2 linked regions of the Oreochromis niloticus genome follow. The protein of the gene in region 2 purifies or fractionates together with the protein of the main gene of each other region. This does not show direct contact. Links are inferred from orthologs where the notes say so. Each region holds a gene or a part of one and is shown on either strand. Other genes may lie near its edges.

Evidence for each region. Proteins that work in one complex are often made in the same cells at the same time.
Region 1: the proteins of sbf1 (region 2) and mtmr1a purify together in Homo sapiens (affinity purification with mass spectrometry; 4 studies listed by BioGRID and IntAct, with this or other methods). This does not show direct contact. The link is inferred for Oreochromis niloticus from reciprocal best matches to the Homo sapiens genes SBF1 and MTMR1.

What each region holds. Positions count from the first base shown.
Region 1 is NC_031967.2:2,851,967-2,861,932, reverse strand, and holds the start of mtmr1a (myotubularin-related protein 1a), read right to left. Parts: upstream 4,223-9,966; 5' UTR 3,915-4,222; coding exon 3,808-3,914; intron 2,237-3,807; coding exon 2,131-2,236; intron 2,036-2,130; coding exon 2,012-2,035; intron 894-2,011; coding exon 870-893; intron 1-869. UniProt on the Homo sapiens protein: Lipid phosphatase that specifically dephosphorylates the D-3 position of phosphatidylinositol 3-phosphate, generating phosphatidylinositol. Could also dephosphorylate phosphatidylinositol 3,5-bisphosphate to produce phosphatidylinositol 5-phosphate.
Region 2 is NC_031981.2:37,924,209-37,933,955, reverse strand, and holds the start of sbf1 (myotubularin-related protein 5), read right to left. Parts: upstream 3,866-9,747; 5' UTR 3,648-3,865; coding exon 3,593-3,647; intron 1-3,592. UniProt on the Homo sapiens protein: Acts as an adapter for the phosphatase MTMR2 to regulate MTMR2 catalytic activity and subcellular location. Promotes the exchange of GDP to GTP, converting inactive GDP-bound Rab proteins into their active GTP-bound form.

The DNA.
Region 1 (9,966 bases), on a different chromosome or scaffold from region 2:
GACCTGATCTGTCTTAGTCCATTTTTTTCCTTGCTCAGCTTTCATACTTGTTTTTATACTTTTATGCTTTTTTTTTTCTTATTTACCTTATGTCTAAATGTTATTTTGACATGTTTTTATATTGTATTGTTGCTATTGTTCTTGTGCTATTGTAAGGTGACCTTGAGGCTCTTAAAGGCGCCTATAAATAAAATGTATTATTATTATTATAACAATCCAGACCTAGGTTTGCTCAGGAGCTTCACAGATCCAGTCATGATTCCTTCCACCCATTGGCATGATTCCCAGTCAAACAGTGAATTATTCCCACAGCTTGATGCTCCCACCACCGCGATGGCCTTCACATGCAAACACTGTTTGCTAACTTTAATGTCTCCAATGGGAAATTGATTTGCAGCGAGTCCACTCAAAAAAAAAAAAAAATCCCCTCTTTAATTTGATTTTCTTGTTGAGGCACTACAGTTTGTCTGGTTGGTTTTTGCTCTATTATAATGGAGTCAGTTTCATACTTAATTAAGAAAGAAAAAAGAAAGCTGAAGAAAGGCACAGAGGGATAAAACAGGAAGGAGGAAGTACACTGAGCAGGGAGGAGTAGCAGCTCTGGTCCGTCTGCAGCAGGAGGCTGATTTGGTTACACACTGTCACACAGTAGCAAACTGCTCAAATTTGCATCACATACAATATTTATTCAGCGCACGTCCTAACACCGTTACAGTTATTCGTCTAATTTGAACACTTGCTGTATCACAATGCTACTGCTGAAGAATCACAGTCAAGAGGCAGCTGTTGTTTTATCCCACGCTACAAAACTCCTGTGTGTGTGCAGTGCGCTTGTGTTGTAAATGTGTTGAAAGGACAACAACTCTTACCCTGCGATTCAGCCTCTTGGACACCTGGAGGTTAAACACACCACATGGACATGAAATGGAAAGCACTAAGGTGACACTCTGGTTTCAACCCAAAGGTTATCTTTAATGTGTGGCACATCAGTCTGTGTTTATAACAGAAGGATGCAAATAGACAAGCGCACAAAAGCAACCTCCAAACAATGAGGTTCAAAATTCAAGCAAAGACAACAAGTGACAAACAGCCGATACAAGTTTAGACAAGCTGCAGGAAAGCTGCGCTTCTAACTTTGTTCTAATGAAGTGAGCCTTAAATCAGAGGTGGAGGGTTTGATCTGACACAGTGGAGGTGAATTCATTACACACATTTCATTAGATGTGCACAGAGGGGTGCCTTTTTAAATTCAGCAGCTATTTGTCATCTCACAGACAGTGTACATACCACAGTGGTGACAGTGAAGTCTGTGCTACTCTGGTTACATTTATCAAAACTGTGATAAGTTGCTGGAAATGTAACTTATCAAAGAAATAACACAACTAAGACTGTTCAGCTCAGACTTTTCAGCAGCTTTAAGCACAGAGTTTGGTTCCAATCTGGATTTTGGGATGGAAAACTCCAGTTCTTTGAATATTTGTCAGCCTTATTGCTCAGGTGGAACGTAATAGCTGTAGAAGATGTAGTAAGGTGATGGGTGCCACTTTTACAATTGCTTTATCATATTTTATTGTCAGCGTTTGCAAAGATCTAATGTTAAACAACCGGGGGCCACAGTTTGGTCTCTCTCTACAGGTCTAGTGTAATATATTACACTTGCAAACAATACAGCTAAACCCTGCTGTGGGTTGTCTAAACTACCAGAGATCTATATGAGCAGCATTGTTTAGTTAACAAAGCACATTGCATATAATGTGCAATACATAGAACATTACACCTCTAACTGATCTGAGGTCTAAAAGAGAAAAACCAATATGAATGAGCCAATATGCGCCTCGCTACAGAGAGGTGGTTGCAGAGAGCAGGCCGCTGACAGACAGAAGCAGTCGATAACTTGCTCAGTAGCTTCTCTAAACAATGACGACAGACTTAATCATTCATATTGACTTAACAGACAAAACTAGGCGCCCACACTCAAAGCAGCTCACAAGGAGAAGTCTCCGAGACTTACCATGAACTCTGGTCTTCTCCCAGCCTATTAGTTACAAAATACACACTGATGAGAATCACTGCCAGCAGTGTGTGTGTGTGTGTGTGTGTGTGTGTGTGTGTGTGCTGTGTGTTGTCTACCTTGATGTCCCTGCTCCCAATGTCTGGTTGGACTGATCCTGAGATCTGACTGGAGATTGTGGCTGCTATTAGCTGTTTACACCATTCTACGTGAGAACCTGTTGGACTGAACACAGAGTGAAACAATGAACTGAAGCTGAACTCCAGATTTCAGGCTGACACTAATACTCAGAATGACAGTTTGGCTGATATTGTTCTTTATTTTACTTTTGCTCAGTTTTCTCCCTTTTGTTGCACAGAAACAAATAAATGAATACATTATTTTAAATAAATAAATTGTGTTAGAAAGTTCTTTGAGTTCTTTATCACACCACTTTTAACATCATCACTGTAAAATGAATGTGTTGAACAGATAAACATCATCTGACAGCAACAATGATGTTCTGCTGACTACATGTTACATATGAGAACGTTCCACCCTGTGTAGTAATTAACAACAATATTATTAACTAATATTTTTCTAATATTTTTTCAACTGCAAATGATGTCCTCAAAGTCAAAGTTTGTCAAGGTCTGTTTTATTTAATAAAATAGAGTTACTTCACTTCAGTTGTTTGTTTTTACAGCAAATGAGATTGTTAAGAAAACCAACACTGCCACTAAAAGCTGCCACAAATGTTGATGGACTGAGTCTGCAATCAGACTGGTACCAGTCTGCAACTATACCGGGTAAAGCTGCCAGTTATATGCAATCTGTCTCTGATATAAACTGCATTTCTCTGCGAGTGATTTCAGTCAGTCGAAGTCAGACTTTTTTGTAGTATTCACAGAGTATTTTCATTTATTTAATAAAATGTTGTTTTTTGGATGCAATATCTCCATGCAAAATTTGATGATACTATGCTGTATTGATTTTTCTCCCAATCCTAAGCCAGACAGTACAACGTCCTGTCTTTGGGCTTTGACAGCGGTTGTCTGAGTGCTGGAGACAGACGGTCCCGTCTCCTGGACAGTCCTGAATATTAAGCCAAGAACAATATATCAGGAAAAGCAGCTCATATGAAGCTTGTCAGTGATAGCAGATAAACCAGTGTCTCTGACAGACTCAGTCTGGATTGGAGCAGCTTTGTGGTGTGAATGTCATGGAATGTTAAGGGGGAGGAGTTACGACTGTGTGACGCTTCCTCCAGTTTTAGTACAATGGGGGGGGCGATGATAACCATAAATAATACATAAAGAATATGGCTCCTACCCAGCGCAACGCAACTCCACGTTTCAGTGTCGGTATTGTTTTAACAGGAGCAACATTGTAACATTTTTATCAAACTACAAAAACATCATGTCATATCTCCCTCAGGTGGCGGCTTCCTCTGAGCGGCAGATACGGATGTTTAACTCGGTGTCTGCAGGCTGCGTGGCCATTCCTGTGCATTTCCTATATGCTGTGTTAATCACGTGATCCTATTATTTTTTGTCAGCTAGTGTATCGCTACTGTGTTGTATGTTGTCATTCCAAATCTGAAATGAACTGGTAACACGCTACATCATTCCATGATGAGTGTTTTGTCACGTTGGAAAGTTTGTCCCAAGCACTGGTCTGTGGATCGATGCCGAGATGAAGGTGTGAAGAAATACTACTAATATTTCATGTTACTGGTGTACAGTGGGAAAGCGAGACAACCATAAGTAACAAGCTGGGCATCGGCGTCACGTTTTCTCGTTAGCGAGCCTGCTTACCTGTCCAGGGTATCACCGGCTGCCGCGCCGCAAGTCGGCGAGCCCCACGGCTTTCTGTTCGCCCCTGCACCGTCCCCAGCGCCGGCACCTCCGGCCTGTTTCTCCATCTGTCACACAACTGCTTCGTTTCTGGGTCACCGGGGGCGGAGATGGATGGTTTCCTCTGATACAGACAAGGGATGCGGATGAAATTAAAGCTCGGTGTAATCCCAGTGTCCGCTCCCAGCGGGCTGTAATGGTTCTTTAAAGACTCCGAACTGTGTAAAGAAACTAATCAGAGGCTCGAGAGCGGATCTCACATGCAGTGGTTTCTTCTGGTTTGGTTGTTTGCACTTCCTCTTAGTCGCATCTATAGCCGCAGCATTGTTGTTCGCAGTGACGTCGCCACAGCTTCTACCAGTGCTAAGGATGCTGTAGCACCGTCCTGACCGATAGGCGTCGCCATTTAGACCAAACTGCCACATCAGCGGAGGAAGAAGAAGTCAACACGGAAAGGAGAAAAATGCCACGAAAGGGTGTAGTTATCAAACGTGTTCATCAAATAATAACAGAATACAAAAAAACACACGAATAAACAAATAACCAAATATTTTATCTTAAATGAACCTGTCTGAATTTACCAGGACTTACTCTACATACTGCTGGCAGAGACGCGGGTAACTGCTTAATAAAGATATTACAACAAGATTCTAACACAGGTATTACATTCTTCAAGGCCAACTGATAATAAACATAGGATAGAGCATACAGCGTATATATAAAGAAAATTTGTTCTTGACTTTCAATATCTTTTTTACAAAAGCTCTGAGCTTTACTAACCAGCTTAAACATCAACCTGAAAAATTCATCACCCTGATAAATATCAGTAATTGTCTTAAAACGAACTACTTTCTTTTGGGGTAATAAATGAAATGACAATTAATTGGTTTTAACTTTTTCTCCACACTTGAAAAATCTATCAAATGATATTTTTTTCTTTTTTACAGGAAGAGGAAAACATGCTTTTGTAACTAGTAATCTCTGGATTTTTTTAAACACCTGTGCTGTCTGGCAGGTTTAGCAGGCACAATCATGGTCTGGAGAAAATAGCAGAGGAACAGCAACAATGGCTGCAATCATAAATCAAAATCAATCATCAGCCTGCGGCCTGGGCTGTCCTGGTGCCATATGCACTTATGGACACCTCTATGAAGCAGGAAGCAGAGTTGCAGTCTTACACGCCTCTCTGCAGCTTCTCTCCTCCTGCTACCCCCCCAAAAACCCATCTCCATTGAGACTGTGTCAGCTCCCAAACAGACAAAAAACAAACCAAAAACCAGCAACAAAAAACTTAAACATAAAAAATCACAAAGAACGACCAATACAGGTTCCACATCTGAACCAAAGAGTAAAACAGTGTGGATTATTAAATATTAGGTCTCTCTCCTCCAAGTCTCTGTTAGTACATGACTTAATAATTGATCAACAAATCGATTTACTCTGCCTTACAGAAACCTGGTTGCAGCAGGATGATTATGTTAGTTTGAATGAATCAACACCCCCGAGTCATTCTAACTACCAGAAACCTCGAAGCACAGGCCGAGGGGGCGGTGTGGCAGCAATTTTTCACACCAGTCTATTAATTAACGAAAGACCAAGACAGACTTTTAATTCATTTGAAAGCCTGATGCTTAGCCTCGTCCACCCCAGCTGTAAAACTCAGAAACCAGTCTTACTTGTTACCATCTATCGTCCACCTGGGCCTTACACAGAGTTTCTGTCTGATTTCTCAGACTTTTTATCTGATTTGGTGCTCAGCTCAGATAAAATAATTATTGTGGGTGATTTTAACATTTTAATGACATATGATTCTTGAGTCTTTACCTTCCAATATAAAGCGTCTTGAGGCAACTGTTGTATTTTGTCGCTGTATAAATAACATTGAATTGAAGTGAGCATTAATGACAATACTCTTTTGGTTTTTCCTATTTTTAACACTTGAAAACTACGTCCACTTTGTGCTTTTATAAAATTATCAGCTATACTACAGGATATGACGTGTGTTTTACTGCTCAGCTCAGATAAAATAATTATTGTGGGTGATTTTAACATCCATGTAGATGCTAAAAATGACAGCCTCAACATTGCATTTAATCTGTTATTAGACTCAATTGGCTTCTCTCAGAATGTAAAAGAACCCACCCACCACTTTAATCACACTCTAGATCTTGTTTTAACATATGGCATAGAAACTGAACATTTAATAGTGTTTCCTGAAAACCCTCTGCTGTCTGATCATTTCCTGATAACATTTACAATAATTGATTACACAGCAGTGGAGAGTAGACCTTATCAAAGTAGATGTCTTTCTGAAAGTGCTGTAACTAAGTTTAAGAATATAATCCACCCACTGTTATCATCTTCAATGCCCTGTACCAACATAGAGCAGAGCAGCTATCTGAATGCTACTCCAACAGAGGTCGATCATCTTGTTAATAATTTTACCTCCTCACTACGTACGACTCTGGATACTGTAGCTCCGGTGAAAACTAAGGTCTCAAATCAGAAGTACCTGACTCCGTGGTATAATTCTCAAACATGTAGCCTAAAGCAGATAACTCGTAAGCTGGAGAGGAAATGGCGTGTCACAAATTTAGAGGATCATCATTTAGCCTGGAGAAATAGTTTGTTGCTTTATAAGAAAGCCCTCCGCAAAGCCAGAACATCTTACTATTCGTCACTGATTGAAGAAAATAAGAACAACCCCAGGTTTCTCTTCAGCACTGTAGCCAGGCTGACAAACAGTCAGAGCTCTACTGAGCCAACAATCCCTTTAACATTAACTAGTAATGACTTCATGAACTTCTTCACAAATAAAATTTTTATCATTAGAGAAAAAATTACCAATAATCATCCCACAGATGTAATATTATCTACAGCTACTTTTAGTACCATCGATGTTAAGTTAGACTCTTTTTCTCCAATTGATCTTTCTGAGTTAACTTCAATAATTAATTCCTCCAAACCATCAACGTGTCTTTTAGACCCCATTCCTACAAAACTGCTCAAAGAAGTCCTGCCATTAATTAATTCTTCAATCTTAAATATGATCAACCTATCTCTAATAATCGGCTATGTACCACAGGCCTTCAAGGTGGCTGTAGTTAAACCTTTACTCAAAAAGCATCTCTAGACCCAGCTGTCTTAGCTAATCATAGGCCAATCTCCAACCTTCCTTTCATATCAAACATCCTTGAAAGAGTAGTTGTCAAACAGCTAACAGATCATCTGCAGAGGAATGGCTTATTTGAAGAGTTTCAGTCAGGTTTCAGAGCTCATCACAGCACAGAAACAGCTTTAGTGAAAGTTACAAATGATCTTCTTATGGCCTCTGACAGTGGACTCATCTCTGTGCTTGTCCTGCTAGACCTTAGTGCAGCGTTCGATACTGTTGACCATAATATCCTATTAGAGTGATTAGAACATGCTGTCGGTATTACAGGTACTGCACTGCAGTGGTTTGTATCATATCTATCTAATAGACTCCAATTTGTTCAAGTAAATGGAGAGTCCTCTTCACACACTAAGGTCAATTATGGTGTTCCACAGGGTTCAGTGTTAGGACCAATTCTATTTACATTATACATGCTTCCCTTAGGCAGCATCATTAGAAGACATAGCATAAATTTTCACTGCTATGCAGATGACACGCAGCTCTATCTATCCATGAAGCCAGGTAACACACACCAATTAGTTAAACTGCAGGAATGTCTTAAAGACATAAAGACCTGGATGGCCGCTAACTTTCTGCTTCTTAATTCAGATAAAACTGAGGTTATTGTACTCGGCCCTGAAAATCTTAGCAATATGGTATCTAAGCAGATTCTTACTCTGGATGGCATTACCTTGGCCTCCAGTAACACTGTGAGGAACCTTGGAGTCATTTTTGACCAGGACATGTCCTTCAATGCAGATATTAAACAAATATGTAAGACTGCTTTCTTCCATTTGCGCAACATCTCTAAAATTAGAAATATCCTGTCTCAGAGTGACGCTGAAAAACTAGTTCACGCATTTATTACTTCCAGGCTGGACTACTGCAATTCATTATTATCAGGATGTCCTAAAAACTCCCTGAAAAGCCTTCAGTTAATCCAAAAGGCTGCAGCAAGAGTCCTGACAGGGACTAGAAAGAGAGAGCAGATTTCTCCAGTATTGGCTTCCCTTCATTGGCTCCCTGTTAAATCCAGAATTCAAAATCCTGCTCCTCACATACAAGGTCTTAAATAATCAGGCCCCATCTTATCTTAATGACCTTGTAGTACCATATCACCCTATTAGAGCACTTCGCTCTCACACTGCAGGCCTACTTGTTGTTCCTAGAGTATTTAAAAGTAGAATGGGAGGCAGAGCCTTCAGTTTTCAGGCCCCTCTTCTGTGGAACCAGCTTCCAGTTTGGATTCAGGAGACAGACACTATCTCTACTTTTAAGATTAGGCTTCAAACTTTCCCGCAGCAGATGGCCCCGCCCCTCCCTGAGCCTGGTTCTGCCGGTGGTTTCTTCCTGTTAAAAGGGAGTTTTACCTTCCCACTGTCGCCAAAGTGCTTGCTCCAAAGTGATTGTTGGGTTTTTCTCCCTTTCTATTATTATAGGGTATACTGTACAATATAAAGCGCCTTGAGGTGATTTTTGTTGTGATTTGGCGCTATATAAATAAAATTGAATTGAATTGAATTGAATTGAATATGTTCGAACATGCTATTTGTTATGGACAAACTGTGGTTTACACAGAAGTGCGCTCAACAGAACACTGCTCTGGTTCAGATCTGGTAGACTGTTCCAATCACCTCCCTCCGGGTCTCATTGTTGTTGCCCACATGAGTGTTGAAGTCTTCCATTAAGATGACAGAGTTCCCATGCGGAGCACTCTCCGGCACCCCACTCAGTGACTCCAAGAAGGCCGGGTACTCTGAACTGTTGTTCGGCACATAGGCCCAGACAACAGTTAGGACCTGTTCCCCGACCCGGAGGCACAGGGAACAAACCATTTTGTCCACCAGGAAAAACTTCTACATACAGGCAGCAAGCTGAGGGGATACTCAACTGTCCACCCGAGCCCGCCACCTCTCACCAACAGCAAGTCCAGCCCCTCTCCAGGAGACTGGTTCTGGAGCCCAAGCTATACGTTGAGGTGAGCCCGACATATGTAATCAGTACCTCTCAATCTCACGCACTAACTCAGGCTCCTTTCTCACCAGAGAGGTGACACTCCAATGTTTTACAGAGTATCTGTAGAAAATGTAGAGTCTTTGTAGACTCCCACAAAGACTTCCTCCACTCACTCTGATTTTTATCCATCAGCCATCATCAAGCTGCTAAATACATTATATTTGGAGTGGCTGTAGAGCAGGTCACCTACTAACTAGAAGGTTGGTGGTTCAATCTCTGGCAGGTGTAATCTGCATGCCATCCTTGAGCAAGACACTAACCTCACGTTGCTCTCTGCTGCATCCATCAAAGTGTGAACGTCAGATAGATGAGGCAGGTTGTGTAAAGCGCTATGAGTGCTGAGAGTAGAGGAGCGCTATAAAACAGACCACTGACCTTCCCATCAGGGCTGCCTCGGTGCACAGTCAGTCAGAGAGCCTGCTGTGTTGTTATTCTGACTGACAGTCGTGTAGGGGGCAGTGTTTCCTCCAGTATGCAACTTTCTTTTTGAAATATTCATGTTACATTAACATTGTGCAATGCTTTGCTGAACTGTTATTTCTTTTTGATCTTTATGTCACATTGCAGAGACACTGAAGAGTAATTTGTACAGTCAAGCCCATAATTATTTATACCCCTGGCAAATTTTGAGTTACTTTTATCCAACCACCAAGTTTTTTTTTTTCCTAACTGGAAATGACATAGTCTTATCTTTTGGGAGACACTGATGTACAAGAGGCATCATTGTGGGGAAAAAAAAATATCTCAGCTTTTATTTAAATTTGAGCAAAAAGTATCATGTCCAAAATAATTCACACCCTTCTCAATAATCAATAGAAAAGCTTTAATTGGCTATAATAGCAATCAAACGCTTCCTATAATTGCAGACCAGTTTGTCTGCACAGGTATTTTTGCCCATTCATCTTTAGCAATGTGCTCCAAATCTTTCAGATTTGAGGGTCTTCTTACCA
Region 2 (9,747 bases):
AATTTGTTATACTTTGTTATTGCTACAGAAGAATATTTATTTTATTATTTTACATCATCTGATGATGATGCTTGAGATGGGGAGGAAGACGATTATGACATTTTGTTGGTTTTTGCTTCTTTGGTGAAGACGCCTTCTCAGATGACAAAACACCAGGTCTGATTATTCACATGTTGAATCTGAATGCAAAATTTGCCTCCACAGCACAAGAACATGTTCTGTTCCCTTCTGCCTTTAGCTCCAGCCACCACACGAGGAGGTGGAACGGTGACATCTATCTCGGCCACTGTATTCACGATGCTGGGACAATATGGCGCCTTCCACAAACCGCTGCTCACTTCTATTTATTTTTAATGTACCAACTCCAAGTTTATAAGAATACATCAGGTGTTCCAAGATGTAATAAATGTATATTTATGAGTACAATATTCCTTTTTCTGTCAAATAACCTCAAAAAACAACTGACTGCACCTTTAAATGCTTTGCAGACATTCATATAAAAATCAGATATGACTATAAAGCAGTGCTGCCGAGTGATTTCTAAAATACATCCGGATTGTGTGTGAACAGTTTAAATGCTCTATCAAAAATCTGCAACAACACTTCACATCGAGTATCATCACACGGCCATGAAGTCTCGGAGAGACGCTGTATACACGTGGTGTGTGAAGAGGAAGTGATACAAGCTCTGTCACAGCTCTGCTACCAATAAGATTCACAAGCTTTAGCGCTGAAACCAAAACACAGTTTTGTTCTTTCTTTACAGAAATTGTTTTCTACGCGTAATCACATACTGGAAATAGTTTCAAAATTACACTCTAAATCACTGATGTGAAGTTCAGCGTTGCTACAGCTAAATAATGCATCAGTCTCAGTCATTTGTTCAAGTCTGAGTCGTGGCAACAAAAGTGGTGCCAGAGGTGAAATATGAAACTTTAAACCCAATCTCCACCACAATCACTGCTACAAACCTGTCCAGTCAAGAGTCACGGTGCACTGATTGATGCCACTGACGTCCTGTTAGCAGTGTCACAACTCTACAATGACGGTCAGACTGTATGACAGTGACAGAGACACCATGACACACACAAGCCCGGATTCATGCTCGGTTATCCCCTCTGTGCCCCTCTCCGTGTCCTCCTTTCTTGACTGCAAGCTGTGGAGATGTTTTTGTGCGTAAAAGGAGGCTGGCTGCCAGAGCTGTCACTCCAGCCTCCAAACAGCCATCCTACATTCTGTTTAGGGCCGCCACAATGACCAACACCCTCAAACTGAGTGCCAAAGGCGCACAGACAAACTACAATAGAGCCTGTGTGTTTGTGAGTCTTGAATGAGACCAACTCACAGAGGCTCAAACCAAACACGCCTCTTTCCTGGTTTTCAGACACGCACTGGGGGACAATATGGATTCTCACTCTAAACATAAGTCTCTCTCGGGACTTCTTCGCCTGAACTTCCTGTTTGGTCCTCAGACTGTGAATCCAATTGGTCACCAACTCGGCACACCGCTGTCAAAACACTGTGACATGCTGAGTTTTTCAAGAGACCCTCTCTAGGACAACCACACCTGCGACAACTGCAAACTCTTCCCAAGCCGCAGGCAGCCATCTTGGCTCTAAGTAAGGCTCGACGGATTGTCTAAGGCGGCATCTTAGCTGAGCAGAACAGTTCCCAGATAAACAGAGGGATGAAGGTTCAGGTTTTTCCCTCTGGGTTCGCATCCGTTTAAAAGTCAGCAAAGGGACACAAAAAAATCTGACAGATGGACGTCGTGTTTGTAAACACCCACATGGTTCCTCTAAGAGGCAGATGAGCAGTGATGATGTCAGCCCCACAACCTGTCAGTGCCCACGCTTGCAAAACATTCCACTAACTGAGTGACAAGCAGCAACCACCCAACTAACACAAGCACACACACACGCACACACGTAGACAGGATGCATGAAATATTTAGCCACGGGAGGAAACGCCACTGTACTGCAGAATTCCTGGTATTCTTATACTCGAGGACCTTTCAATGTTGATGCGAAGCCAAGTCTTTTCATTACAATCAGTTAGTGCCAGCACACTGTAGTTGGAGCATTGGTAGAAAGCAAAGTAATACTGCATAAATACATGTAAAGTCAGAAATCTCCAAATAAACAACAGTGGAAGCTTTGCATTTGGAACCAGGTGAAACTAGAAGAAGATGGGCCCACCGAGCACGTGGATGAAGGCGAAAACCGTCCTTGTTGCAAACGGGGACGTTTACCACAACAACAACGCCTTCAGCCTGAAACCTAGCAGGGACTGAAGGTGCTCTAGAAAGGCAACATTAGTGTAGCCACACCAAAAATCATCATCACCCTCAAAGTGTTTGGTTTTTATGAGGCACGGAGCGTTTGATCCATTAAGCCACCGTGGCTTTAATGTCTGCTTCCCAGATGCTTTTTACTGGCATGTTCTGCTCTGCAATGCATTCAGGCACTGTAGCACAGGAAGGGGAGTTTCTGCAGCGCTTGCAGCGTCCACGTTATAACATCCTGTATTCCCCCCCTTCTGGAAGAAAAATACAAGATGCAATAAATGTATTCATGTGTCAGAAAAGGGGATGTAGGCCACCCCAGCATCACGATAAAAGCCAGTCCAGAGCCTGCTTTTAGCCACACGGGCCTCGTCATGTTACAATTTGCCTCTTCTGAATAAATCATAAGCAAAAGAAAAAAAATCACTCTAAATAAAAGACAACCACGTTACAAGTTGCATGCTTCCGTTGGATAGGCGAGCTGAATATTTCATGATTAAACGGGCCATTATACTGCACAGATCTAGGCCAAGGCTCAGGCTGAAGGGGGGGGCTCAGATAACGGTCCTAACCCCGTCCCAGCAACGCAAGGGAACACAGCTCCGGTCCGAGGGGGCTCAAGGGAGGGGCAAAGCCATCTAGGTTAATCCAGACAAAACACACACAAAGAAAACAATAAGCAATTGCGGCAAGGAGAAGCATCGATTTGTACTATTAAAGTGATTAGATCAAGTCCAGGTGGACATCAACGCAGCGTGGCTATTCAGGACCCTGCAGCCACAACAACACTGACTGTCGCTGTCACATCCTGTGGTAAGCTACCCCTGAAAAAAATTCATTTTTCCCAAAACGCCACTTCTAAGGCTTGCAAATGAGAGAGAGCGGGCAAAATGCGGGTGAATAAATCCGTCTTAGGTCTCAGCCGAGCAAACTGAAAGCCCCCTCAACTCTAGTCCTTCTAACGTTAGCTTTTAGCAAATGAAGTTAGCCCAAGTTTTCTGTCAACGGAGTGAGGCAGTTTGTTTTCCCGAAGCTAAAACGCCATTGGAAGTTGGCGGTTGTAAGCAGCTTCTTCTACAGTCACAAATGTGACACACCGGCTGACAGCCTCGCATTCAACTACACTAATCCCGTGAGGCCTGCGCACCCCGGTCTAAAGTTGAGGGCTAGCAGCCAACTGACAGCGCCCAAGTCGGTTAGTTGTGAACGGCGGCCTGGCCCGTCCCCGCCTCCCTCCCCTCCTCTTGTTTGCCCACAGCTAATAATACGCCGTTAAAGCTAGCAGGGCTGGCTAACTCAAACACCCACCTCGCTTCTCGAGGTCGTAACCGACCACAACAAAGTAGTCGGCGAGCCTGGCCATCTTGGAGGCTCACGGTGACAGGCCTTTCGCGCTAAATCCTCTGCTCTTTGTGCCGTCAATAGTCCATTTACATCCTGGCGGCAGCAGACACATCACGGGCGACAGTAGCATCCTTCCAGCTGCACCCCGCCGCCATACTGTCAGTCTGCCTTGCCCTGACAGCGGAGAGCCGCGAGTCTGCGCACTGAGAGACTTCCAGGGAGGGGCTGCTCGACAGGAATGTCCCATGTGGGGAGCCAAACCAGCTCAGGGGCCAAAAGTCTGACCAAAACCTATAATAAACTCAAAGAAGTTTCGACAATGCCGGCGCTAAAGGGGTGAAAGGTGGCGACGGATTTTCAGTGCCCTGAAATAAAGAGGACCCACAAAAATGTAGTGGAGCTGCCTTTCCTGAAGCGAACAGCCAAACGCAGTCCTCCTTAAGGGAAGCCCAAACATTTCAACCAAGACGCACATTCACCACAGAAGCTAGGAAGAGAGGTTCTGCTACTTTTTAAAAATTATTTATTTATTTATTTTTAACTGAGTTTTTTATGTTCAGTGGATTTTTGAAAAAGTGATTAGAGGGGCACACTCTGAGATAAGAGCAGGTGCGATATTATACAAAAATGCCATTTTTATTGATTAGTCAGTAATGAAAACAATTGTTGGTTCACATGAGTGAGGTTCACTTCTCCTGCGACAAAGTGAATAAATACATTAATACTGTGGCAGATAGTTTTTCATCCTCCATCTTCAGATCCTAACATTACAGGTGCAGGCTACTGGAGCACCTCAAACTGTTCCTTAGCTTGACCATGCAGACATTACAGAGATGTCGTATGCAAAGATTAGGTTAGCGCAAACATAATGACACGTGTGATGAACACACACGTTTGAAATGAAAAGCAGGCACCCTCGTTTTGAAAATGATCGGCCTGAATGTGTGAGCGTACTGTCAAAATGATTGTCTTCCAGACCCATCAACATTTCCTGTTTGTGTTTCGTCTGAATTGTCGTCAGTCAAGGAGAAAAAAAGAGGAAATTTCACCTTAAAAAGACAACAACTTTGTCTGTTTTACTCATGTTTCATCATGCTGAAAATTAACCCTTAAAGTAATGACAAGAGGTTGGAGCTCGTCTCAAAATCGATTTCTGTGGATCATTCCAAAGGACCCCCCCCCCACACACACACACACACACACTTTGTTCTTCTGTGTTATGAATGCAACAGCAAATAATATTTGGGTTATTTTTTCCCCACATCAGTCTTAACAGCTGCGACTTCCTCTTTTCTGGCTCACTATCACCTCCACCAAGTGCAGAATGCAGCAGTGAAGCTTCTTAGTGGTTTAGGCACATAGCATGACATCACCACAGCCTGGGCCTCTCTCCATTTGTGCAGTGTTTGTTTCACAGTACTCACTTTTAAAGCACTTTCTGGTTTGTAATCAGGCTACGTATCACACGTCAGTCTGTCACTTTTCCTCCAAATAACATTTTATGATGGGAAAAAAAATCATATGGGAGCACAGCCTCACCTGGCAGGATGATATTCCCAAACTGCAAAAACTGCTCAGGAACAGCCCAGTTATCATGACAGAAATCATCGGTCACACTGGCTCCAAATTCCTCAGATTCCAGTCCACGCTGTGCACTGGAACAAGCCGGTGGCGCCTGCAATCCCAGACGACCCTGCACATCCTCGGAGGTCCCATGTTCAGGCCCCGATGGCTCAGAAGGGATCTAAATAATACTAGACAGCCGGTTTTACAGTCATTGCTATTTGGCGCACTACTTTTACTGACTTTTACATTTTTTCTTTTAATTTGATCTGAAATAATCTTCTGGGGGTTTCTTTGTTTTATATGAGTACCCTGCTTCTGCCTGTACAAAGCCAATGTTTGACATGAAAACATTCAATGTTGTGTTACAATAATGTATTTAGCACATAGCTCCACTTTCAGTAGGCTGAGAATTCATATTTCAAAGGAATGTTATGGGAACAATTTAGCGGCACAAATTAGGCCCAAATTACCATTCAGTCATTAATTAGCTGCTCCGTGTGAGCAGAGGTCCACACCCTCAGCCTCAGTGCCAAACCATACAAAGATGTTGTCAGATTTGCCAAAATGTTTGTGGCGCATTATTCCAAGTTTGTGTAGCCAAAACATTCCCCCAACCCCACCGTCTCTCATCACGGCTCGGATCCACCACGCTGATTGAGGCTACAAAGGAGGGTGGCTCCAGACTGCAGTGTCAGTTTCAATGATGCAGTAGTATGTAAGGAAGGCCTAATAGCCCACATCCATATGGCCTGTCCTTGCTGTCAGCACCGTAACAGCCTTGAGAGACTCCCGGCACTTCCTGTACTTTCACCTTTGACCTAAAGCTCCTATCACTCTCTGGTCGCAAGCTATCGTGTTCATGGGATGTCGTGTTTTTTTGTTAAGAGCATTGTTTTCCCGAAACTCGGTAAAAACTTGGCTCTTCTCCTTTCTCACAGAGTTATCTGTGACCCGGGGCTGGGCACAATGACAATAGGCCTCCTCTTTGATAAGAGTGGCTTTTGACAACCAAACCTATGTTAGGAGAAGATAACATGTAACTAAGGTCACTGCTCTGGTACTAATTCTTGCTGCTGATATTAATTTTGTTTTAACTTTGAAGCATGCTTGGTAGGTTGCCAGAGAAATGACAGCGGCGCAGTGCTTACAAAGATGGGAGGACAAGAGCAGCTCCATTGCTCTAACCCTTCAGATTAAGCAATGCACATTACTGAAACAAGCATGAACTCTGCAAATCTCCAAATTATTAGTTACTAGTACTATGGCCTTTGACTTTAACATGCCGAGTGTCTAAGTGCTCTTAGCTGGAAATGCTGTTGTTCCTCTTTCGTTATCAAGATGCTGAAGCTATAAACAGCAGGTTAGATTAGCAAAAGTAAATAAAGATAATCAATCTGTTACTGAGCTGAATGGAGTTGCATTGGTACTCGTGGCACCGTTAACTTGAACATCAGTGAAAAGATCAGTAATGCTGAAACATATAAAACCAAATCCTTATTTTGTTGTTGCACTGTGAATCAGAAACATATGAAAGAGCCCAACATGGGCAGGTTTTTCCTTTGGTCTCCTTGGTTACCAGATGCTAACAAAACCAGAACAGGAGCTGCCATGCAGTGATGGGTATCTCCCTTTCATCATTTTCATGCGGTTTTGGCGCCTTTATCAATTGAATTCAGGCCTCAAGTGACTTGAATATCATTGCATTCTATTAATTTGACATTTAATGCAACATCTTAATACATTTGTGTGTAAAAATGAAGAATCTGGATTTGCATGAATTAAATTAAATCATATAAGTCAAGCCAGATTTGTGCATCGTAACTTAGTAGTTGTTTTTCTTTCAGCATATATAAGATAGCCCTGTGCAAGTAAAGATTACACATCACAGCTTTGCTCATTTACTATATTCAGCCATCATCTCTCTCTTTGTGTGCACATTTTATTTCTAGGAATAAAGAAGAAGTGAGCCGGCGATATGCCTGTCCCATCACTGATTCTCTGCTCTTCTTCACACACACAGCACAATTAGAGCGCAAAGCAGGTCTGTGCAGCATGCAACAATCATGTGACTTCCTGTAGACTAACCAACAGACAGGAAGTGGTTTGAAGGCCTCATGCACATCATTGCTCTTCACGGGGCTATTCCAGCAGCTGACTTCCCCTCAGCTCAGGTGAAGCATAGCATATGAAAATGCTTCACTGAGCAGGTGCTGAACTCTTTAGTTGAATTCTAATGAGGGATGTTTTAGTATGACACTGTTACAGTTCCAGTGAATGTTAAATCCAGCACACACACACACACACACACACACACACACACACACACACACACACACACACACACACACACACACAGTCTCATGTCTGTCACTGCTGTAATTTGAGCTCTGCATACACAAAGGTAATGTGGCAAAATATTGTATGTACACTAAACTGCTGCTTGCTCAGTTGTAACTAAGTGTTTTTACCCATAACATCGAGGATGAACGACTATAAACAGGAAAAATATTCCATGCATTTACTACAGTAGGTATTAAATGGACTGGATCTTATACAGTGCTTATGTTCTCTGCTTGAGCACTCAAAGCCTTTTCTACAACATGCCTCATTCACCCACTCACACCCTTTCATACAAACACTCTTTCTGTATGGTTTTTCTCCTCAGGTGTGTCCCGTGAATCATTCCAGGGAAATCCAGGTTGTGAAGGGCCAGTCCACTTTTTTTTAATTTGATAATCTGGGACTTTGACTCAACAGATGAAAAACAAACAAACAAAAAGTTCATAACTGAATAATTAGAGACTTGGACACACACATCCTAAAGACTTTAACTCCAGAGATCTTACAAAGGGCCATGAAAGTGATCGTCATGAAACCCGCTCTGTAATTCTCATTCTTCTGAACTCAGTGATGTGTCGTCTCAGAATATAGTTTATGATTATTCACAAATATGTTTTAAACGAAAACATCCTTACTCTTTAAGGTTGTTACTTTTTAAGCAACCACATGTATCAGATGAGATGGGCCTCATCATCCTGATAACACAGACACTAAAACTCATTGTCATCAAGCTGTGTCATAGTAAAACTTTTATAGCTGTTCTCCATAAAACTGTAAGATAACTCGATATAAAAATGTCTGAGTGCCCTTTGCAGTGAACATTAAATCGAATAAACTAGCAGGAATTATGTTTTAGGTTTGCCTAATTTGTCATTTTTGCTGTACAATCCCCACAGTGGCATCACAATTTGATTACAGAATAATAGCACATCAGTACATGGAGTCACTAGCTTTATATGTGACATTATTTTATAAGTAGAATCATTTACTGACCGATCATGAGAGAAGGAAGACATTTAGCCACTTTAAGCTAGTGGTCATCACAGGTAGGTTTTTACTCCTCGGTCGAGGATGTTTGCTGCATTTCACCATTCAGACGTTACACAGCCGCTGCTAATGTGTGCCATCATAAACCCATCAATTCTAATCACGCTTGCTAACCTGGGCCCTGACTGATCCCGTCTCATACAGTTAACATTCATCAGGATCTGATGAATGAAGAAAACAAAAGAGCGAGGAAGGTTAGTGAATAAGAAAGTTTAGAGGATTAGTAAGGATGAAGGACGAACGCAGCTATGAAGACGAAAGGCAGGTGGACAGATGACGTACCTGTGGAGGCATGGAGATGTCTAGAAGAAAGGGCAGTTTTTTAATGTTTATTTATAAGATTTAAAGTTCAAAATTACATAAAATCACACAAGACAAAGGAAAGAAATTCAAAAACAACATCCAAGCACATACAAACCCCACACAGCTTAGTCAGTCCACATCAAAAGTACAGGAGAAATGCTGGAGTCTGAAGAAGATGACCTGCTGTGTGAAGTTAGAGAGTTCACAGAGTCCAGAAGAGGCGGGGAACAAGTCCAGGAAGAAGTCAGGGTCCAGCAGAGGTGTGGTTTTACATAAACACCAAGTGCAGTCAAATTATGTTAATATGATCTCAGCAAATTTAAAGTGAGGGTCATAATGAACCTCTTCAATATACAAACATGCCAAACATGGGAGGAGATGTGATTCCAGGCTCTAAGAACAAGTCTTTTAGCTACAATCATACCAAACATTAAGGCTTTCTGAAGGCATCAGAGTGCCAATGAGGAGCACCCGCACACTGCAACTATACCATCTGGCTTTACTCTTAAGCCTGCTTCAAATCCACCTCCATCGTCCCGATACCCAAAAACTCCAACCCATCTAGCCTCAATGACTACTGCCCAGTAGCCCTCACCCCCATCATCACTAAGTGCTTAGAGCAGCTGGTCTTAGCACACTTCAAATCCTGTCTCCCCCCCACCCTGGACCCCCACCAATTCGCATACCGCCAGAACAGGAGCGCAGAGGATGCAGTCTCCATCGCACTGCACTCTGTCCTCTCACACCTGGACAACAACAACACCTACGCCAGAATGCTGTTTATAGACTTCAGTTCAGCATTCAATACAATCCACCCCTCACAACTCATCAGGAAACTGACAGACCTGGGCATCAGTTCCCTC